Coturnix japonica: one gene and its partners. The main gene of each other region encodes a partner of the protein of the gene in region 3 in a complex. Links are inferred from orthologs where the notes say so. Each region holds a gene or a part of one and is shown on either strand. Other genes may lie near its edges.

Region 1 (4,040 bases), on a different chromosome or scaffold from region 3:
GATAGGGTCACCACTGTGGATATCACCTATGAGAACAGGGTATGGGGATGCCAGCAGTGGGGCAGGGCTATGAGGCAGCCCTGGTGCTGGCTGTTCTTCTTTTCTCACCTCTCACTGCCACCTGAGCTCTCAGTGCTACCAGCCGCAGGGGAGAGCAGAGGAGTCAGTAGGACAAGAAGGGGCACCCAGCATAGAGCTACCCCCCTGGGGCAGCCATAGTGCCTGGGGGAACTGCAGGGGGTCCCAAATAGGGCAGCTGGGACTGGGAACAGAGGGACTCTACAGAGTGTATGGGGATCTGTAAGAGAGCTTGGGAGAGGACCCACCTCACCCCCCATTCCTCATCCCAGGCCCCCTCCCGCCTCCCCTGCCCTGGAAGGGGATCCCTGTGCTCATTTCAGGGCCCTGCCCAATGTAGCTCTTACCTGTGGGGGATGTGGGGGACACAGGAGATGAGGGAGATGTGGGAGACATGGGGAACGTGGGAGACACGGGGGAGGTAGGGGAGAGAGGGGTGGTAGGGCTGGTGGGGCTGGTGGCCTCCTCCGTGGGTGAGCAGGGGGGGAACTCAGGCCACAGCTCATCATCCTCATCCTGCAGCCAGGTGGGCTCCTATGGGCACAGGCATGATGGCTGCACAGCCGTACCACCACCTCACTGCTGCCATCCAACCTGCTACCACCACCCTGCACCCCACAGCCACAACCTGTCCCTTGTGCCACCACCCCCACCCCACCAGTGCCACCCAGTACCCAGCCCCTGGCAATGCCACCCCAGCCGTGCCTCCTCTCACCTGCCGGCCTTGGCTGCTGCCTGCTGCCACTGGCCTGGGCCCCAGCTCAGCATCCTCCTGTGGCACTGCACTGCCTCTGGTTTGCCCTTCAGCCTCGTGCTCTGCAGCCTGCCCTGCTGTGGGCTCTTTGACAGCATCCCCTGCTGCCTTAGCCTCACTCACAGCATCCTTTGCAGCTTCCCCCTTAGCCTCACTCACAGCATCCTTTGCAGCTTCCCCCTTAGCCTCACTCACAGCATCCTCTACAGTGTCCCCCTTAGCCTCACTCACAGCATCTTTTGCAGCCTCCCCCTTAGCCTCACTCACAGCATCCTTTACAGTGTCCCCCTTAGCCTCACTCTCAGCATCCTTTGCAGCCTCCCCTTTAGCTTCACCCACAGCATCCCTTGCATCCTCCCCCTTAGCCTCACTCCCAGCATCTCCTGCCATGCTGACCTCACTCACAGCATCCCCTACTGCCTCCCCCTTAGCCTCACTCCCACAGTTCTTCTCTGCTTCTACCTCGCCCCCAATCCTCGTATCCCCTGCACTCTCCCCCCCAGCGCCCCCTTCATCCCCCCCAGCCTCCCCCTGCCCTTCCTGTGCTGCACTTTCCCCGCTGTCCCCCCCCACCATCCCCTCTGTGGGCCCTGTTGATGTCTGTGTGAGGTCACCCAGGGCAGTGTCATTTGGGGTTGGGGCTCCATCGGTTGTTGTGGACTCCATGCTCCTACTGTGGGCTGCAGGGTTGTCACTGAAGTATCCACCGTGCCTTCCACCCCATGCAATCCCATTGCACTTCTGTCCCTCAGCGTTCCTCCTGCCCGCCCACCCCATCGGCCCCAACACAGCTCCCAGTCCCCATCCCATCCCCATTATTTATCCCTTCCCATCCACCTCGACCCAACCCCCACCCCCCACTCCTGTCCCCAAACCCCTCCCTCCCCCCTGCACACCCCAACCCAACCCATTCCCCATTCATGTTTTCCTCCTGCCCCCTCCCAGCTCCTCCAGCTCAGTCCCAACTCCACAACTCACTCCCTACCCCCAACCCCGACCCCCCTCCATCCCGTCCTATCCTCGTTTCTCACCCCAAACCCCCGACGTCCCCCCCAGCCCCCCGGCGCCCCATATCCCGGCTCACCGCTCTCCGCTCTCCCCGCGGCCGTGTGACCGCCGCAGGTGCCGCCTTCAGTCAGCGCCGACGGGGCGGGTCGGGGGCCGGAGAGGGGCACAGCGGGGAGGGGACGGGACGGGACGGGGGGGAGAGGAGGCCGGGCGGGGCCTGGGGATAGCGGGGACTGCGGGATGGAACGGGGACACAGGGACACGGACACGGGGGGACGCGTGCACGTGAGGACATGGGGGGACGTGGAGGCGATATCGGGGGGATATGAGGGTCACGAGTGGGCACGGAGACACGGCACATGGAGGAGATGGGTGATGCGTGGGACACGAGGGGACACGGGGGACACATATATGGGAGAGAAGGGTGACAAAGGGAACACAGAGTGCCCTGATCTGTGGGGGGACATAGGGGACACATTGACATAGAGGGACACGGGGCCATAGACCCGTAGCAGACACAGACACGAGGGGGCAGAGCCGTGAGGGCAGACCCACGGGGACACGCGGAGGTCACGCGTGGGCCGGGCCGGCCCCGATCCATCCCTGCCCTCCATCGCCTGCCCCCGCCCACCCCGCTCCGCACCGCTCCCCACGTCCCATCAGCGCTGAGAACGAGCCGTTGTCCCGCCCCCACCCGTCTCCTATTGACCGAGAGCGGCGGCGGGGCGGAGCGCCTGAGCGTGTGGGCGGAAGCGCGTCCCACGTGCATCCTGCGGGAGCGCGGTGCGGGAGCGACATGGACCCGCTGCGGGCACAGCAGCTGGCGGCAGAGCTGGAGGTGGACATGATGGCCGACATGTACAACCGGTGCGCGGCCTGACGGGACGGGCCGGGGCCTGGGGGTAGTGCCCGGGACAGGGAGGGGCTGGGAGAGCGAGAGGCGCGTGGGTGTCGCGGGTGGGGGCTGTGCGGGGGCTGTGCGGGTGCCGGGGGTGGGGGGTGCCGGGCAGAGCCGTGGGGTGACGGTGTTGTCCCTCAGGATGACGCAGGCGTGTCACCTCAAGTGCGTGCCCCCACACTACAAGGAGGCGGAGCTGTCGAAAGGCGAGAGCGTGTGCCTGGACCGCTGCGTGGCCAAGTACCTGGATGTGCACGAGCGGATGGGCAAGAAGCTGACGGAGCTGTCGCTGCAGGACGAGGAGCTCCTGAAGCGCATGCAGCAGGGCACGGGCACCGCCTGAGCCCTCCCTTCGGACTCCCCTTCCCATCGTACCAATAAACTGGAGGCTCTGGGCCAGCTGTGTGCTTCCCTCGGCCCCCCAAACCCGTCTGTGGTGCTGTGTCAGGGGGTGTCCCACTAACCTACTGGAGATGGGGGCACCCCGGCGTGTCTGCTGTGCCCACGTCAGCCTCGGGGATAGGCTGAAACCTTCCTTATCCCTTATGGGGTCAGGACAGGGCTGTGCCCCTCACTCTGCTTGCTGGGGGGACACTGGGGAGCACCTGGAGAAATGGCCACAAAGGGACACCTGCAGGGGGGCAGTGAGAAAACAGCACACCTGCATGGGGACAGGCACAGAGACATTTGGTATGGATGGCTGGAGAGGGACAGTGCCCTTTCCACACCTGGAAAAGGACCACACAGGGACACCCACGTGGGGACACTTAGGGGGGGACACCTGGATGGAAACAACCCCAGAGCCACACATACAGATGTGCACACATGTGTAGGGAAGACCTGCACAGGGTTACTAGATGGGAACACCCAGCCAGAGACACCCCAGCCTGGGGGTGGGCACTGTGTGTCCATCCACCCGTACACACACAGTGCGCCTGTGCCGGTGTGTCCCCGGGGCTGGCTGGAAGTGGGTCAGGCTGCGCGCACACTCACTGTCCTCACAGCTTGTGGGTCGCATTACGCCCCACCGTGAGCCTGTCGTGCAAGCAGTGGGTGTGCAAGGTGCTGCAGGCGTGACAACGGGGTGGCATTGCTGAGTGTAACGTCGGTGTGTCCGTCCAGCCGTGCCGCAGCGAGCGGTGCGTGCGCCGTGGGGCCCTGCGGCCGGCAGCAGTGGTGCCGGGGCCATCAATATTTCACGAGGAGAGAGTGCCGTGACCTGGAAAGGCAGCGCCGCAGCCGCTGGGCCCCACGCTCCCAAAATAAGACCATTTTTAATAAAGAATTCCCAACCGCGCGCTG
Region 2 (6,062 bases), on a different chromosome or scaffold from region 3:
ATAACTGCACTCTCAAACATAAAACTGGTTAAATCCATAAGCCAAGGGAAGCATAGATGTTAAAGCAACTAAATCCACTGGATTTAGGCAGTTTACTGCTGTAATGTCCTTTCAAAGCCAAGAACTTAAAATCTCATTGGTAAGAAATCATTACATTCAGAACCTGGATGAGAGGTAGGAAAGCTGCAGTCTCAGTTCATGGATGTGAGTACTACAGAGTGCAAACGTTTGGTGGTAATGCTGGAATGGAGTCCAGCACCAGCACAGTCCTCTGTAGCCCTGGGGAATCTATGGGCTCCAGGAGAGGCAAGAGCTGCAGAGTAACCAGCTCCCAGCATACAAACCTGCTGTGCTTTCTTCTGCTCATGGTACAATGGAAAGGTTTCCATTCTCAGAGGAGGGAAACCTCTTCCTCTCAGTTCCCTGGGCTGCTGCAGTTCTGGGAAGGGAAAAGGGGGCAGACAGGTGGGTATAAGAGGGAAAAAGAATGGATTAATCTCACTACTTCCAGCTTCCATCTTCAGGCCCTTCCTGCTTCAGCAAGGACTCAGGAACTGACAACGTGTTACAAAACAAAGTTGAGCTATGAAAACCTTTGGGTTTTGTTTTCAAACAGCAGTGCCAAAAACAACAGCTGAAGCCTATTCAAAATGTTGGAGGAACACGCAAAACCAGGATTTCAAGCAAAGCCATTACTTCCAAGGTTTGAATAATCTGCCCTTCAGAACCTTGTCTGGAGAACATTGCAATGTGGGATAACAACTGAGTCACCGCACAGGCCAAGTGAAATACAATCATTTCATATTCCCGCATGCTGCCCTCTGCTGAAGTGCTGAGCACAGTGGGTCCATCACAGGCCTGAGCAAAGCCACCATCAGCTGCACCTGATCCTGCCATCACAGCAGGGAGGAGATGCACAACATGAAGAGGTTTCACCTGGGACCAGGAAGAAACAACTTAAAATTTCCTGTGAAGAACTTATTGGAGATGTCTCAGACTCTCAGGTTCCCTCTCCGAACCTTAATATGTTCCAACTGACTTCCCTTATGTGACCATTTGGATAATCACATCAGGACCTTTCAAGCACATATATTTGTTCATAGGTGGAACACAGAACAGCCTGAAGTGGAAAAGTATAAATACCTAAAGAAGAAAAATATATTTATTTATGGATATATGTATAGAAATCAATATAATTATTTCATATAAACACAGGTGAAAATACTTGTGAAATATTGTTATATTCACAAGCAAATATAAACTCATGATTCTGGGTTTGGAAACACAGGAAAATAAAATAAAAGCAGTATTGCAGTCTCACATATAAACTCACAGCATCAAATGCCAGCTCCAACATTTCTTTCTTCTCCTTATGCCTTGGGAAAATAGGCTTTGCAGTGTGACTTCAAGATCAGCCCAACTAGGTTAGTGTGGATCAAAGAGAAGATTGAGATCTACAGTTCAGGGCTCCTTAGGGAGCTCAACCTGCCACCAACCTCCTCTTTTGTATAAGGATCCCATTGTAGTAGACATTAACAGCAAGCTTTGCAACAGCTTCTGACCTTAAGATATAAAAAGCCTTAAAGAGTAAAAGAATAGTGGGGGAAGAGCTCTGGGCAGGTCTGATGGTCCAGCCAGCAGAGGGCAGTGGAATTTAATAGGAAAAGAGGAAAGTTATTGAAAATAACACCATCACTTCATTTGAAGAACCATCAAACCAGGTTGTTATTTGAACCTGCGTATCCAGCACAGACAAGATACAGGGCAAGAAATGTTAAAAATGAAAAGAAATAGAAAATAAATGATTGTGGATCCTTTGGGTTTCTAAGCAGTCCCCATTCAGAGCAATGAATGGCATCAGGAAGATGTCACACTTAACACATCACTTAAGAACAACCAACAGATCTTTGATATCGTTTTCAGTTCTCAGCACAACGATCTGAAGCCACCTCATCTCATCTGCTGAAACCACCTCAGGGCTTCAAAACCTGTGGGCAACTTCTAAAGTTAAACCAAGCCAACATTGAAGCCAACCAGGCTATTCCTTCCAAGCAGACCCACCTGCATCGTGCTGGGCTGAGCAGAGCGCTGCTCCTGCTGCACAGAACAGCAACACAAGGCACAGAGCGTGTGGGTGAAGGCTTTAAACCTTGGCAGCTCCTCCTCGTTCAGCTGAGGGGGGGCACAGAAGAAGAGTTTCCCACCCTGCTACCAAACAGGGTAAGCGCGGAAGGGCTGAGGTTTCTATATGACTCGCTGCGAGCTCGGTTTGCATTTTATGACAAAAAGACAGACTTTTTTTGCTCTCTAAGCACCTTTGATGTCAAGCTGCCTCTCCGTGTGCCCGGGGCAGCGCAGTGCTGCTCGGATGGGCCGCAGGATGATCCCAGCACCACGCACAGCTCAGCTGAGCCCTGAGTGCTACGAGGGGGACACCCACCCGCAGGGCTCAGCCCGGGGCTGTGCAGAACGACCACGGCAGGACCCGCAGCTCTCAGCCCCGTGTTGAGGTTGAGCTGTTATCCCTAAAGATAGAAGTCACTCCGGGAACGGAGCGACCCCTCAAAGCTTAACGACCCCTCCGAGCTTAACGACACACCGGAGGCAGATCGGCCCCGCACTGCGGCTCCTCATCCCTCCCCATCCCCGTGGCCGTCCCATCCCCGCTCCATCCCCCCCGTAGCCGCTCTCACCTCCTATCGCTGCCTCTTATCGCAGTCTCCTATCGCTGCCTCTTATCGCTGCCGCCCCGTTGGATGCTCGTGCAGCCGGAGCGCTCACCTCACTGCACCGCCCCCAATGGCCACCAGGGGGCGCTGTACGCCGGGTAACGGGGCTCCCAGCCCTCAGCGCGGCCAATCGCGTGTCTCTCCGCAAAGCACGCCGAGAGCTGTAGTTCAGTGTCATGGCGCTGCCGCGGGGAACGCTGGGAAATGGAGTCTCGGCAGCGCGCCTCACAGCGGGAGTCTCTGTTAGTGAAACTACAACACCCATCAACCCCCGCGCGCTACGGAAGCCGCGCTGCCGGTTCCTCGTTACGCGGAGGACAATAATGGCGGCCGCACCGCCGGGCGGTTCGCAGCCTCCGCTGCAATACAGCGCTGTGCTGCAGCACCTGGTGGGCGAGCAACGCCGACCCCGAGTGTGGGACCCCAACAGCTTCGGGGGCATCCCCTGCCCGAACAAGAGCGACGAGCAGAAGATGGTGGAGAGAGCCATGGAGAGCTGCGCCTTCAAAGCGGCCTTGGCCTGCGTGGGGGGTGAGGGGGGGTGGGGGACACACGGTGTTGGGTTGGGGCTGAGGGGGGGGATGAGGGTCTGTCAGATCTTAAGGGCAATTCCAGCCCATGGACACGGGGAAGGGGCTCCCACCTTCCCCTCCAGTTTAAGATAGAACTCTCTGTGCTGTGTGCCTGCACTAAAGGGGGCACTAAGATGGTGAAGGGCCTGGAGCATCTCCCCTATGAGGAGAGACTCAGGGAACTGGGTCTGTTTAGCCTTGAGAAAAGAAGGTTGAGAGGGGATTGGATCCAGGTTTATAAATACCTGAGGTGTGGGGGCCATAGTGGTGAGGCTGGTCTCTTTTCAGTAGTGCGTGGGGACAGGACTAGGGCTAATGGGATGAAAGTACAGCATAGGAAGTTCCTTAATAAGAACTTCTTTACAGCGAGGGTGACGGAGCACTGGAACAGGCTGCACAGGGAGGTGGTGGAGTCTCCTTCTCTGGAGATATTTAAGACCCACCTGGATGCCTACCTGTGTGATGTGGTGTAGGGAGCCTGCTTTGGCAGGGGGGTTGGACTTGATGATCTCTAGAGGTCCCTTCCAACCCCTACAATTCTGTGATTCTGTGATCAGATCAGTGTCTGCAGCACATCAGCCCTTCATGCTGCCCTTAAGACCAGAGCAGCTCTAACCCTGTGAGTGTTGGATCACTGCTCCAATCCAGAGCTTCATTTCATAGCTGTTGTCTTCCCCAGGGTTTGTTCTTGGAGGAGCCTTTGGGATCTTCACTGCTGGCATCGACACCAATGTGGGCTTCGACCCCAAGGACCCGTATCGCACCCCGACAGCCAAGGAGGTGCTGAAGGACATGGGGCAGCGCGGCATTTCCTACGCCAAGAACTTCGCCATTGTGGGCGCCATGTTCTCCTGCACCGAGTGCGTGGTGGAATCGGTGAGTAACGACCCTCAAACGTTACTATGGGAGCTTTTATTATACACCATTGAGCGCCTTTCATGAGTCCAAACCACTGTGGTGAGGGATTGGCTCGTTGCCTTTTGCTTCTTGATCATTTAAGCTTTTCAGTTCTAAAGGTTTTCAGAACTGTTCTGTGTTGGAATAAGCAGAGCTGCATGCAACAGTGAAGAGCTTTCCAGTTCAAGTCCTGGATTTTGGCATTGATTTTTGAAACTTTAGCTCCAAACAACTCATAGTTGTGTTAAAACATCAAACTGGGAGTTGCAACGTGGCCATCTGAGCCTCTAAAAAGTACATGTGAAGAAAGGGATCCTTTGATGAAAGATCTGAAGTAATAGGGCTGTTTTCATCTTGCCCCTACAGCAGGAAACGACCTCGTGCTGCTCAGTGGTAAAGCTATCACCCGTTTTCTTAAATAGGAAGATGAGCCTGTTATGAATGTCAGTACTGTCCTTCAATCGAAAAACACAATTAGTTCTTAATCCGTGTAAAAGAAAAGTGTATCTGTGTGCACAACGAAGCAGAACAAACACGTTGCACTGGTGAAAAACTAGCTAATAGCTAATGTTTGCCCGCAGGCTGCTGTTTGCTCTCATGGCTGCATGGCCATGCTGTGCTCACAGTGCCTTTAAATTGTCTGTGAGCTGGTGCCGGTGCACTGTGCTGCCTTGTGGGGGCTGTATGGGCTCATCTGAGAGTGTGCTGTAGCACTGCATTGCACCATGCGGATGTGTCTTACCTCTCCTGCTGACCTGCTCCTTCCCCTCCTCCTGGCCACATAAAAACTTTTACAGTGCAGGGGGGCCATCTGCTGAGAGCAGAAGGAAAAGCATCCTCATCTGAAACAGGGCTGGAAGGCTTCACCTCCCTTGGTGTTAGTACAGATGTCGAATTGTTATTCCATGTTTACTTGTTGTCTCTTGTTTTTTAACTCCACAGTATCGTGGAAAGTCAGACTGGAGGAACAGCGTTATTAGTGGCTGCATCACAGGAGGAGCGATTGGCTTCAGAGGTTGGTGATGCCTGGTAGCAACTGCTGTGATAAGGCAGCAATTTGGGATGGTAACAAGCAGCATTTTTAAGGCAACGCACGCTGCAAATCTCTCTGTATGGGGTTATGTTGATGTCAGCATGAGAATGTGCTTGAAGTTGGCAGAACTGTCATCTCTGTCTCTTTCCTGTCATCTTGAAAGATATGTGTGGGTAGGGAAGGCTGGTTGTACAGGACAGGGAGAGCGGAGAGAAATGAACAGAAGTGACTTGAAAGCAAATGAGGAAATGGTGCTGGTAGCTCTCCACATGCTACTGGGGTGTCATGGAGAGGGAGCCAAAAATATGTTCTGAGCAACTCGCTGAAGTTACAGCTCTTGTGTTAATAGAGCTCTACTTAGATATATTGTTTCACTGGCAGGAACTCTGTTAACTTGATCAGCTTGTACAATGCCTCCCTCCTTTCTCCTGTCTCAAAGAGGCAATTCTATGTAGCTGTACAAGAGCAGGAGCACTGAGATTTTAGTCCAGCAGGACCTAGAGGGGACTTCTTGGGAAGCTTTGACTGTTAACATCTGGAGAAGAGCCCCAGGCAGGAAGAGAGCAGTGCTGCTGCTCAGCAGAAATATCAAACTCCATTGACTTGTCTTTAAGAAAACAAAATCAAACAGACAAAAACAGTTTCCAGAGCATAGAAGAAATGAAAGTGCTCTCAAAAGAGCTTCTAATTGAGCTTGTTAAGTTGTGTCAGCCCTGAACCTAATCCTCTTAGAGCATTCAAAGTAGCAGCTGCTTTTGCTGTGGTCCATCTTTGTCCAACAGTAAAGTCACTTGTTATAGATCTGAAATCAGCAGTGGCCACTGCTGTTTT
Region 3 (5,852 bases):
GGGCTGGGATGAGGCTGGTGAAGCCCAGAGCCTGGAACACAGCACAGCAGTGAGGCTCAGCACAGGGCTTGGATGCAGGCCAGGCTGCCCACCCCACACTGCAGTGCTCTCAGGGCTGCTGCTCCCAGGGCCACACTGCGGCCTGATGAAGTGCAAGCAGAGCAGACTCCTGGTGCAGGCAGATCCACCCTGGGCAGCCCCATGAGATGCAGGCAGGCAGCGGCTCCCCCCTGCCAGTCAGGCACTGCTACCAGGCTCAACAGAGCCCTCAGTGTCCTGTGATTTGTCACCTGCCTGCAAGCAGCAGGACTTGGCCTCTTGCAGCACAGAATCTGGCCCCCAAAACCCTACTAGACATTGATAACCAAGGCCCTGGTGCTCACTGCATTGGCTGCTGCCCACATGGGAGATGCTGTTCCCCCTTTCACTTGCAGAGCTGCTGGCAGGGACAGCCCTGCACACCAATGGCCCTGGTGCTCCTGTGCTAGGCAATACTCCTTGTGCTCCGGGGCATGGTAGAGGTGGAGGAGAGGCCAGGCAGACACACAGTGCATCCCACAGCCAGGCACAGCTCGGCCTCATTGCCTGGTGCACTGTGGTTTGGAAGTGCCACGTGTGCCCCCAGCACAAGAACCGTGAGTAGACTCTGCTGCTGGGGGAGGCATGGGTTGGGTCTGGGTTGCTTTGGGTTGCTCCCCACCACAGCAGGGCAAGAAACTGACCCTGAGAAACACTGCACACAACGGGAGCCTTAAGCCCGGGCCCTAAGCCTGAGACAGGAGGACTCAAAGGCTGTGTCGCACCATGGGGCGCTGGGGTGGCTGCAGTACCTGCTGAAGCACCAGCCTGGCTGGCCATCCTGCTGGCGGCAGATGCACTGGGGGAGATGGATGGTCCTCGGGGTGAGTGAGGTTGGACAAGACAGCCTGGAAATGGAGGGGCTGGCAGGAGGTGAGCAGAGGGAAGAGGTGGGGGGGGTGTGAAGGACACGAGGGCAGGAGCAACCAGGACACAGGGATGAGTGTGCAGGAAGGGTGGCAGCAGGGGAGCAGATGAAAGAGTGATGTGAAATCAGTAGATACAGATGGCAGCCGCACAGACAGCATCACGTCAGAGGCACCCAGGCTCCTCTCTTGCTTCCTCCCCATCCCCAGGCTGGTATCAACACGTACCAGGTTGAGAACTGGGACAGGCCAGGACTGACAGACACAGGGAACCACTGCACAATATCCCCCCAGCCACAGCAGGCTGTCAGCAAAAGCTCATCTCCCCTCTGCCTAAGTTAATTCACCCGTTCAGCCTGGCACAACATGGAAGGACCCACAGTGAAAACAGTTGTTTGCAGCAGATGGGCCAGACTGGCCAAGAGCTGGGACAGAGACTTGTATGAAATGGGAACAGGGTGAGAGGGATGGATGGGGCAGAGCTGCTCCAGCTGCACTGACTGTGGCTCTGGGTGTGCAGCAGCAGCAGCTCCCCAGAAGCCCGTGGACACCATCCCTCCAGCACAGAGCATTTACAGACAGGCTCAGAAGTGCCTGGGGCTCCCAGGTGGGCAGCAACAGCAAAAACGGGACATTAACGCAGAGTCTGGGGCTCAGAACCCTTCTGCCCTGTCCCCCTCTGTCTGAAAGGTGTCTCTCAGGTGCAGCCACCACAGCTGTGCCAGTACTGTGCACCTTTGGGGCTCTTGGATACCCAAGAGCTGAGCCCACACATCACACCAGTGCCCCAGGAGGGCAGAGCAGCTCCCTCAGCAGAAGCCCTGCATCTACGAGAGAGCCAGGCATCTCCACAGCTGCCTGTGAGCCAAGGGCACGTGCAGGGTAAGAAGTGCAGCTGGGTGGAAATCACACCCCCAGGATGGGCCCCACAGCATTGGCGGGGTGGCAGCAGTGCTGTGCTCTGGGGCTGTGAGGAGGCTGAGCTCTGCAGGGCCACGTGGCTGTGACTCAGGACGGCCTCAGCTACGAGCAGAGCTGCTGGGAGCAGGGACACAGACTGGCCCCGTTCAGGGCTGCAGCAGGGTGGGCTGTGACCCCAGCACTGAGCCCTAAAGCCTCCAGCAGAACACCCAGCTGACCCCCACCCACAGCCCCGTCCCTGTGGAAGCCGTTTGTACCTTTGATGGTGCCGGTGGGGATGATGCCTTCAGCGGTTCCCCCGTAGCCACCAGACACGATGCTGGTTTCGTTGAGGTTGGGCCCCGACACCATCACTTGCTGCAGGTCCTGGGGGAGCAGAGCATTAAATTGAAGCACAAGGACAGACCCCCAACCCATGGGGCCGACGTGAGGCCCCGGCGCAGCCCCACACCTGCTCCAGGCCGTCATCTTCGGGCAGGCTGCCGGCGTCCCCGTTGCTGCTGATGGGGATCTCCATGGTGGCGGCTTTGCTCATGATCCCATCCGACATGGTCAGGGCCTGCGGGGACACACGGTTCGTTCACGGGGCTCCTCGTGTCCCCTCGGTCCGAGCTCCCCACGGCTCCTGGCGCGGGGCTCGGGGCCACGTCGGCAGAGCGCGGCAGGGCCCGGCCGGACCGGTCCGGTCACATTCCGAGCATCGCCCCGCCCGCACCGAGCGCCGTTATCACGAGCTGGACCCGCCCCTCGGTACCGGCATTGGGGGCAGCGCTGCGGCCCGGCCCGGGACTCGCAGCCGCCGCTCGGAGCCAACGAGCACCGAGAGCCCGGGCGGGACGAGCAGGAGCGACACGAGCAGCGGCTGCAACGGCACCAGGAACCGGGACGGGACCGGGGCGGCCCAAAGGCCGGGCTGTCACTGCACGGCCGGGCCCTGCGGCGGCACCGGGGCTCCCAGCCCGGCTCCCACCCGGGGCCCGACCTTCACCCCGACCTTCAGCCCAGCCCAGCCCAGCCCAGCCCGTCCCGTTATGTCCCGTTATGTCCCGTTATGTCCCACCTGCCCCGCCCGGCCCCGCTGGGCCCCCCCGCCCCGGAGGCTCCGCGGCCTCGATCCGCCTCGGCCCGGACGCGCCGGAAGTTACGTCACGACCCGCGCGGGGGGCGCCGGGAGACCGAGCCGGAAGTGACGTGCTGTAGATCCCCGAGCGGAAGTGCGGCGGGGCGGAAGTGCCGGTACTTCCGGCAGCGCGGGGCGGGCCGACATGGAGGCGGCGGCGGCCGAACAGCAGCAGCAGCTCCGCAGTGTGAGTGTGGGGGGACGGGGGGAAGATGGTGGGCGGCCCGGTTCGGTTCGGTTCGGTTCGTCCCGGTTCGGCGGTGCCGGGCCGTCCCGGTGACCGTACGTGCCGCTGTTTTGCAGCTGCGGGACTTCCTGCTGGTGTACAACCGCATGACCGAGCTCTGCTTCCGCCGCTGCGTCTCCGACCTCGGGCACCGGCTGCTGTCACGGCGCGAGGTGAGCGGGGACCGGGCGGGACGGGACGGGACGGGACGGGACGGGGTGAACGGAGCCGAACGGAGCCGGTGCCGCCCGTAGGAGCGGTGCCTGGACGGCTGCGCCGGGAAGCTGGTCCGCTCCAACCACCGGCTGATGGGCGCCTACGTGTCCTTGATGCCCGGCATCGTGCAGCGCCGCGCCGCCCGCACCGAGCACAGCGCGGAACCGGCCGCACCGGACGGACACGAAGCGGCTCCCGCTGATCCCGACGCGGCTCCCGCGGGCACGTAACGGAGCCGCGGGGTCGGTGCGTTGCCGTGGCCGGGAGGTGGCTGCGGGACGGTCACCTGATGGCAGCTCCCGTGTGGAGCCGCTGAACTGCCCGGTGTCACAGCCGGGCCAGGCCGAGCCGCGTTCTCTGCACCCACAGCAGCAGCCGGGACTGCCCGACATGGCGGCCAAAACCGGCAGCACAACGGCACCGGGGGCAGGAGGAGGAAGGGAACGTGTATGAGCTGCTGTGTGCACTGCAGCTCCCGGCTGGAATCCAGCACTGACTGGGCTCCTGCTGTCCAGAACTGAACATCTTGTGTTTGTATTTGACCATTTCATGGGGTTAATAAAACGTTTTATGTGTCGTGCTGTCAGTGTGTCACAGGGGTACACGGACACTGCTCCACAAGCAGCGCTGTGTGCTGCGTCCTGCTGCCAGCGGCACCTTCCTCCCAGCAAAGGTTCCCACTTTGCTCCTTCTAGGAACTGTTTCTTTGTGTTCTTGCTGCTGGAGCAGCATCAGCACAGGCTGCAGCTCCCAGCCCTGCAGGCATTCAAGGCCAGGCTGGATGCGGCTCTGGGCAGCCCTGGCTGCTGGTTGTGACCCTGCACACAGCAGGGGGTTGGGATGGATGAGCACTGTGTGCAACCCAGGCCATGCTGTGATTCTATGCTATGATTCTGTGATACCCTGTTCCCTGGCTTCCCTCTGATGGGTTTCATTGGCACTTAGAAGAGTAGACAAATGCACACAGATGTAAGGTCTTTAAGTGCCAGTAATTGAGACAAGTCGACCTTCGTTACTTAAGCTATGGGAAAACCAAAGATCTGGTGAACATTGGAGGCCCCTAAGATTATTTTCCACCTTGTGGACAAAGCATAAACTGGGTACGTTCTCCAGCAAGTCCATAAGCTGCCGGGAGAGCACCCGGCTGATGGGCTCCCGCTGCACCACTGCCCCCCTGTCACAGCATTCCAGGCACGGCCCCGCTTGGGGCTGTTTCTCCTCTCACAGGAGGCAGGTTGTGTCTCAGGCCCAGCTGTGCACAGGGAGCCAAGGCCGCGGCAGATAGTGGCTGTGTGGGAGGGCTGGGAGCTGTGTGAGCAGTGCCTGCAGTGTGGGTGCTGTGTGTGTCAGCCACAGCACTGCAGGTGGGTGGTGCTCATGGGTGGAGATCCGGCAGAACCAAGGTTAGGAACCAAAGGCAGGCATGGAAGTGAAGGAGCTGGGCTGTGCAAACAGCTACACAGGACAGCAGTGCATTGGTCCTCCCAAGGAGCCCTGGGTGCACAGGCAGTGATGCAAATCTGCACTGAGTTTGGGCCGTGGGTGCTGCTGGAGGTGGCGTTACTGCAAGGGAGATTCCCTTTTGCTCAGCCCCAGCTACAGTGTGTGACACTCAGTGTGGTGATAACCCTCCTTTGGGTCTACCCCTGTGGTGGAGAAGTTTTCCTTTGGGTTTAACAGCAATTTTCCATGTTCAGTGTGGTGTGATGTAAAGGCACAGCCTGTGTGTGTTAGTCCAGCCTCCACTGTGCCCTCCAGCCCTGGCACAATGCACCATGGCACAATGAAGCCTGATATGGCACAGCACAGCATGGCACAGCACGGCATGTTACAGCCCCATCTGCCGGGCTGTTGCCTGGTGTTGGCTGCATCTTGGTGTGCTCTCCCAAGGGACTCTGCTGCCTGTGACTCATCTGTGCTGACTGCCAGCCCACGGCCCGTGTCCCAGCTGTGTTCCCCTCATCCAGCCCACACCAGCCTGGCTGACATACACTGGGGCTGGAAAAAGCGTTGCCAGATGGAAGGTACGTGGAATCTGCTGTGCTCACTCACTGCTGCTCTGAATGCTGCCCTCCCTCTAAATGCTCTGCAGTTGCACTTCAGCCAGGCACGGTGCCTTTGTACTCAATGGACTCTGCTGCATTCTTCTTCCATTAGCTTATAGATTGGATTTTGGAACAACGCTGTCCCCATAGTGAGGTTCTCCACCACCTGCAGAGGGTGGTGACGCACTGGAACAGGTTGCCCAAGGAGGCTGTGGATGCCCCATCCCTGCAGGCATTCAAGGCCAGGCTGGATGTGGCTCTGGGCAGCCTGGGCTGCTGGTTGGTGACCCTGCACACAGCAGGGGGTTGGGATGGATGAGCACTGTGGGCCTTTGCAACACAGGCCATTCTATGGTTCCATGACTTCCTCCAGTGGTTGC
Region 4 (5,996 bases), about 120 Mb from region 3:
AAGCAAATTACCTGTGTGAGAATCTGGTGGCTGTAAATCATCCACTCTGAGGTTCTGTTGGTGGCAGTGTCAACACCTGCCTGTGGAGGCTTGATGTTACCAGCATGATGGATGCCAGCTTCCATCATCCAAATGGGTACTGCCTCCAGCTTCAGGATGAATGACCTTAATCTGGACCAGCAGGACTTTATAAGAACGGAATCCCCTACCAGTGATTAAAATGATATCTTCAGAGTAGCCCTCACTGTCATATTCAATAAAAACAAATAGTTTATCAAACACAGAAGTTGCCATGGATTTTTATGCATTGGGTTTTGTGCTGCTGAGTGAAGGGATTGATCCCAGCCTGGGGCACTGTCCTTGTTCTCTCATTCAAAGCAGACCTAAGGGAGATCCAACCCAGCTGGTGCTGGCAGTGGGACAGAATGGGGCTCCTCTTAAAGCTTGGAGCCAGGACTGCTCATTCTAATGCCTCAGTGGCACCTGCATTTACTGAATCCAAATAGGTTGGGAGTAGGCGCAGAGCCTCCTGAAATGTCTCTGCTAAAGGAACAACCTCCCGACAAGATTGCCACAGAGAAATGTAATGGGTTTCTGCGACTGTTCAAAAGCTGTGAATATCTCCATTCATTCCCTTGGAAAAAAGGTTAATAAACTCAGAGAATTGGGGAATATTTCTGTGTAATAGTCCAGCCACAGGAAGAGGGGGCAGGGCACAAAAGCAGTGATTTTTTTGCTGTAGAAATATGCTGGGCACGCTCCTGAATTTTGATCTAGGGAGGGTGAAGCTCATATTGTGTTCTGCTTACTGAATAGAAAAGGAAAAGTGGATGGAAGGAAATGAAGGGATTATTCTCACACACAGAGTCGAGTGCCTCTGAATTACCCAACCAAAAACTCTGTCGGTGTAATTCAGACCTCTCTCCACACCAGTGGAGCAGGCACTGACTGCAGACATGAATGCCCCATGGGCTTGCACCTTTGGGCAGAGCTGAAAATGAGGGCAAAAGAATCCATCATGAACTTTTCCTGCTACCACAAACACAGAATTTCTCCGGTTAGCTTCAGTGGCTGCAATACACCCTGTTATTACACAGGACACAGGCCAGAGTGGAATGGAGAGGGACATAGAAATGGAAGGGATGCTGCAGATGCTGGGCTCATGAGTTGGAGAGCACAAGTAAAGAAACACCAACTGGAAAACCCACCAGAGATTTCAGCTAGCATGGGAAGCCCTAGGCAAGGAAACAGCACTTTCTGCAGCTCAGTCCTGTGGGAGAGATAGGCCTGCGGAGAGAGAAAAGTTGGATGTGTGGAAACCAGTAAGGCTGGAGCTCCTATCCCACAGTTTGATCTGGAGAGACACCCCAAGAGACCAAGAACAAGGGCTCTATCCACTGTAAATCATGTTTGGTGCTCAGGTGCTGCAGAATTAAAGCAGAGTTCAATCTCCCTCGAGGGGCCAGAAGCATGGAGAGATTTGCAGTCTGGGGTTTTCTCATCAGCAGCACAAAAGCTTAAGGTTTCTGTGCTAAAAGATGCTCCCTCCAGCCTCCCACTCTTGCCACAGCTATATCAATAAGGTGTATAAAGGTAGGTGTGGGGGACAGACGGAGCTTATCCTTCATGCTACCATCAAGTAAAGAAACTCTCCCTGCCTTCACAGAGTGCTGATGTAAAATGTACTGGAGATGCAGGATAGGGTCACCCAGCTCAGACATATGAGGATTATCTGCAGACCATATGGCTAGAATTAGCTTTCAGGCTGTGAATTTGAATAGAAGACCAGCTGGTGGCTGGGAATAGGACTCTTTTCACAGCTTCCATGGAGGTATCAGAAGGTCCAACTCATAACTACATATCACGTGATGAAAGCAGTGACTTCAGTCCTTTTCCCAGAGGAACAATCATGGCAGAAACACAGCAACACAGACAAGTTAGCTGAGGTGAGGACTTGGGGACAAGTTGTACTGAATAGAAAAGAAGAATAATTCTCTGTCCTTGAACAATACTTACATATGTACAATCATAGAGCATTGCCAAGTGGTAGAAAAGCATCCCTCCTTTACTGTTTCTGCCATGTACTCTAGCTAAGAAGAGAACTTATCCAGTTAAGCATGTGACTTTTCTAATGTTATAGATATGTCCCTGAAGCATGGTCTGGGATGAGGCACGCACTTGTCTTCACAATTAATTTGCGTAGTAATTTTAGGTGATAAATCCCATGTCAAGCATTACAGTTGTGGGGCAGCCTTTCGAACACTGACTTCTTTTTACACAAACCATCCAGCAATCATAAGTAACCCAAGGACGTATTGCAGCCTCTTCCAAGCAGTTTTCTGGAAAAGGTAGCAGTCATTTGACTACAGTATGTGATACAGAGGATGCTCAAAATCAGCCCTCTATCCTCTCATTTTTCATTGCACTTATCCTACTACCTACTTCTATTGATTTGACATGCAAAAACTAGGAGACCTAAAAAGGAAGTACCTGGTACATGTGAGAGCACGGCAGGTGTGATCTACCTTGAGGGCAATCAGCAGCCACAGCCAAAAACTAGGACATGCATGTTTGCCAGGAGGGATAGCAGAACGGATCTGCATCCAAAGTAAAGCCAGATAATGGGATAAGCACACAATATGTTGCTGCTGTCTGCAGTGTTTCTTCTAAGGGCAGTTGTCAAAAAGCACCATCTCAAATTTCCAGACCGATTTCTCAGATAACGTCCCAAAAATTGCTGAGGTGGGAAGGGAGTCCACTTCTATTAGTACACAGATCTTCTGTGAGAGGATCTTATCTCAGAAGTGACCTCCGTGCTGGCAGCCCGGAACGCAGGGCCATGGCTGCCGTTTCCAGCCGAGCCGGGCGGCGGCGGCCGCGGGCCGTTCCTCGTTTCCCTCCGGGTTCCCGACGGCATGGCGGGGGCGGGGAAGGTGTTCGCTACGCTGAGGAGTCACTGGAAGAAAACCACGTTCGGTGTGTGCTTGCTGAGCTGGGGGGGGAACTGGCTGTACGGGAAGCACTGGTAAGTGCCGCTTGGGGCGGAGGGCTGAGGGGCGGGCGGCTCTGCGTCCTGTTCGTTGTGGGGCCGGGTGTGTAGCAGAACTGCTCTGTGTGCGCAGAATAGGATCATAGGATTGCTCAGATTGGAAAAGATCTTTAAGATCATTGACCTAAACTTCCCTTGATGCAACCTGAGGCTATTTCCCCTTGTCGTGTCATATGTCACCAGTGAGAAGAGACCAGCCCCACTCAAATACCTTTTCAGTATTTGAAGAGAGCATTAAGGTCTCCCCTCAGCCTCCCCTTCCCCAGACTAAACAGCCCCAGTTCCTTCAGTCACTCCTTATAGGGCATATTCTCAAAGCCCTTCACGAGCCTCGTTTCCCTTCTCTGGAGCTGCTCCAGCACCTCCATGTCCTTTCTGTGCTGAAGTGCCCAAAACTGAACACAGTACTCGAGGTGAGGCCTCACCAATGTCGAATACAGGAGCAGGATGACTTCCCTAGTCCTGCTCACCACACCATTCCTGATACAAGCCAGGGTGCCACTGGCCTTGGCCACCTGGGCACACTGCTGGCTCATATTCAGCTGGCTGTCCATCAATACAGAAGGTCTTCTCACCTGGCTGCGCATCAACAGGGGTAGGCTAGGGGCTCTCTTTGCAGTTTCTGTTTTGCTTCCAAATGTGATAGTGGATTTTGCATTTCTTTTCATATGTCAGTCAGCCCCGATTCTTTTGTTTCTGTACCAGTTACACTTGGACAGATCAAGGAGAGAGCCATACATGGGCTGTGTTGGCTCTGTGTCTTGCTGTTAGTAGCATCACAGGCTAAATTACTATGCACCAGACATACTACTAGACTTATATTTGCCCTCTTAGAACAGATTAAAGGTTTAGTGAAGTCTTGTGCTTCATTTTCAGGCATTGCAGGAATTTCTGATGAAGGGGCTTGCTTTAGCACAGCATTAGTTCAGATTAGCCTCTGACTTCCTGGAATTAGCTGTCTGAGGTGTTGCTCATTTATTTGGAGCTGAACCCTCCTGCATCCTTCTTCTTGGCTTTTCCATCCTCATGAAATTTCTGAGATGTTTCTCTTGCAAGGAGAAGTTCATTTGCTATTCTGACTTCTCAAGGTTCATTCTTCTTTTGGATGCAGAGGCTACGATGCCTGCATTAAGTGGAGCTGCTACTATCTGCCCTGCAAATAAATGGCAACTCTTCTATAGTCAGTCTCAGGCTGCTCATAAGGACACAAGAACTCTGAAGCACTTGCTTAAGACTTTGGGGAATGCTGCATAGACAGATTGGGGATATGGAGAATGTTACCTTCTCCAGACTCATCCTCTGTGCATCTTCCCTGCACCTAAATAGAATATCCCAATTTGAGAAAGAGCCATGAGGAGCATTAAGTCCAACAGTGGTTAAAGACGCCGCCTTGCAACACTGGGGCCCGAAGTTCGAATCCCCCCTGTGGCGCAAGTGGTAGAAGTGCCGCTCTGCTACACAGAGGCTCGAATCCCGGGGGCTGGACTCGATGATCTCTAAGGTCCCTTCCAACCCGCACGAAACTATGAAACTATGAAACTATGAAACTGCTGGCTCCACACAGGATCAGCCAAAACTCAGACCCTTTGTTGTCCCCTTCCAGCATAATGTGGGCTGTGCTGGGGGTCTGATGTTGATGCCATTGTGTTTCATCGGCTGTAAAGGAGAGTGGGACACTGCAGTGAAAGGATTCTTCTCTGAATTAGTCTAAAGGTTGTTGATGGCTTGTAAAGGCCAAGGAATTTCTTAGCCTGGTCTTGCGTGGTGCTTTTTTCTTGTAGCATTTAGTTTCTGGATCAGTGTGTTAGCCTCTCATCTTTGGAGGTGTTTGTTCTAATACTGACTGGTTTAACAGGAAGGGGCTTTTCAATGAACTAGAAGAGCAAAGAGTGCAGATTCCCCCTTGACCATTTGTGATTCAGATGATCTGTATGTGTAGTATAATGGGCAATGCCTCTTCAAAATTGACATTAATCAGGAAATAGGAAAAACTTCTCATGTGTGGAGTGATAGGCATAGTGGCTGGTTGAACTACTGTTAACTAAAACCCTGTTGCTGTTTTTGGAATGCCTTGGTGAACCTTAACATTCCTTTGTTTCTCACAAAAGAGCATCTAAAATTGGTTGCCTTGTATTTGGGATAGCAATTACCCTTACAATATTGGAGAAATAAATTGAATACTCAGTACTGTCATATATGAGTTTATCACTCTTTAATATCACTCGATTACATGAATTATCATCATTTTAATCAATAGTATATCATAGAATCACAAGGTTGGAAATGACCTACAAGATCATCTAGTCCAACCGTCCTCCCTTTACCATACCTACAGAAAAACCACTAAACCATATCTCCTAGCTCCCTATCCAGACGCCTCTTGAACACTGCCAGGGATGGCAACTCCACCACCACCCTGGGCAGGCTGAGATAGTGGTATATCATACTACAGGTGTGAGGGGCACTGAATTTTATATGCTAGATCAAACCATGGAGGGTGTGCAGATTGTCAGAGACATGTTTGTACTCAGTGCCTCACTTCTATTTAACATATCCAGACAAGACTGATTACAGAGAAGTAATCAACTTGCCTTTTAAAAACCTCTTTTCTCAATAGGATGGAAAAAGGGTACACAGCTTAATTCTGGCTGTGTTTCTGAGCAGTAGCTACTGATGTCTGTTGACTTCATGAGCTCAGGGAGTCATAATATAAAATTCAAATTGCTTTAAATTGTACTCATCATCTTGTCTTACTTGAAATGTTTCCATATTGATGAAGAAATAGCAAGGCAAGATATCATAGGATTGTTTTTACATGTTCACCAAATCACCTCACACCTTCCCAGTTCATGTCCTGGATCTTCTCTCCTCAGTGGGGCTGTTGCTGCCCTTCCTACATCCTGAGTGGTGCAGTGAGCCATCAGAGATGGCAGGAACAGCAGTTTTA

Evidence for each region. The genes of interacting proteins can lie anywhere in the genome.
Region 1: the proteins of TIMM10B (region 3) and TIMM10 are in contact, whole or in part, in a cryo-EM structure (PDB 7CGP), measured with the Homo sapiens proteins. The link is inferred for Coturnix japonica from reciprocal best matches to the Homo sapiens genes TIMM10B and TIMM10. Residues at the interface, in NP_036324.1 of Homo sapiens: Gln7, Leu11, Leu14, Arg15, Phe17, Leu18, Leu19, Tyr21, Asn22, Arg23, Met24, Thr25, Glu26, Cys28, Phe29, Val33, Pro34, Ser35, Leu36, His37, His38, Arg39, Leu41, Glu46, Leu49, His50, Ala53, Gly54, Ile57, His61; in NP_036588.1 of Homo sapiens: Ala6, Leu9, Leu13, Glu16, Met17, Asp20, Met21, Arg24, Ala28, Lys32, Cys50, Asp52, Arg53, Cys54, Ser56, Lys57, Tyr58, Asp60, Ile61, His62, Glu63, Arg64, Met65, Gly66, Lys68, Leu69, Leu72, Asp76.
Region 2: TIMM10B (region 3) and TIMM22 share a complex: the UniProt entries of both Homo sapiens proteins name them as parts of the TIM22 complex. The link is inferred for Coturnix japonica from reciprocal best matches to the Homo sapiens genes TIMM10B and TIMM22.
Region 4: TIMM10B (region 3) and AGK share a complex: the UniProt entries of both Homo sapiens proteins name them as parts of the TIM22 complex. The link is inferred for Coturnix japonica from reciprocal best matches to the Homo sapiens genes TIMM10B and AGK.

Annotation. Positions count from the first base shown.
Region 1 is NC_029520.1:7,774,893-7,778,932, reverse strand, and holds TIMM10 (mitochondrial import inner membrane translocase subunit Tim10), read left to right. Parts: upstream 1-2,568; 5' UTR 2,569-2,636; coding exon 2,637-2,707; intron 2,708-2,879; coding exon 2,880-3,081; 3' UTR 3,082-3,168; downstream 3,169-4,040. Other genes in the region: SMTNL1 (smoothelin-like protein 1), read right to left, coding at 109-142, 426-612, 794-1,609.
Region 2 is NC_029534.1:5,110,025-5,116,086, reverse strand, and holds the start of TIMM22 (mitochondrial import inner membrane translocase subunit Tim22), read left to right. Parts: upstream 1-2,890; 5' UTR 2,891-2,905; coding exon 2,906-3,260; intron 3,261-3,980; coding exon 3,981-4,177; intron 4,178-5,140; coding exon 5,141-5,213; intron 5,214-6,062. UniProt on the Homo sapiens protein: Essential core component of the TIM22 complex, a complex that mediates the import and insertion of multi-pass transmembrane proteins into the mitochondrial inner membrane. In the TIM22 complex, it constitutes the voltage-activated and signal-gated channel.
Region 3 is NC_029516.1:174,016,533-174,022,384, reverse strand, and holds TIMM10B (mitochondrial import inner membrane translocase subunit Tim10 B), read left to right. Parts: upstream 1-3,050; 5' UTR 3,051-3,130; coding exon 3,131-3,172; intron 3,173-3,288; coding exon 3,289-3,384; intron 3,385-3,465; coding exon 3,466-3,657; 3' UTR 3,658-3,673; exon of another isoform or gene 3,674-3,796; 3' UTR 3,797-4,008; downstream 4,009-5,852. Other genes in the region: ARFIP2 (arfaptin-2), read right to left, coding at 1-31, 831-941, 2,123-2,231, 2,317-2,415. UniProt on the Homo sapiens protein: Component of the TIM22 complex, a complex that mediates the import and insertion of multi-pass transmembrane proteins into the mitochondrial inner membrane.
Region 4 is NC_029516.1:55,079,324-55,085,319, reverse strand, and holds the start of AGK (acylglycerol kinase, mitochondrial), read left to right. Parts: upstream 1-2,824; 5' UTR 2,825-2,839; coding exon 2,840-3,025; intron 3,026-5,996. UniProt on the Homo sapiens protein: Lipid kinase that can phosphorylate both monoacylglycerol and diacylglycerol to form lysophosphatidic acid (LPA) and phosphatidic acid (PA), respectively. Does not phosphorylate sphingosine. Phosphorylates ceramide.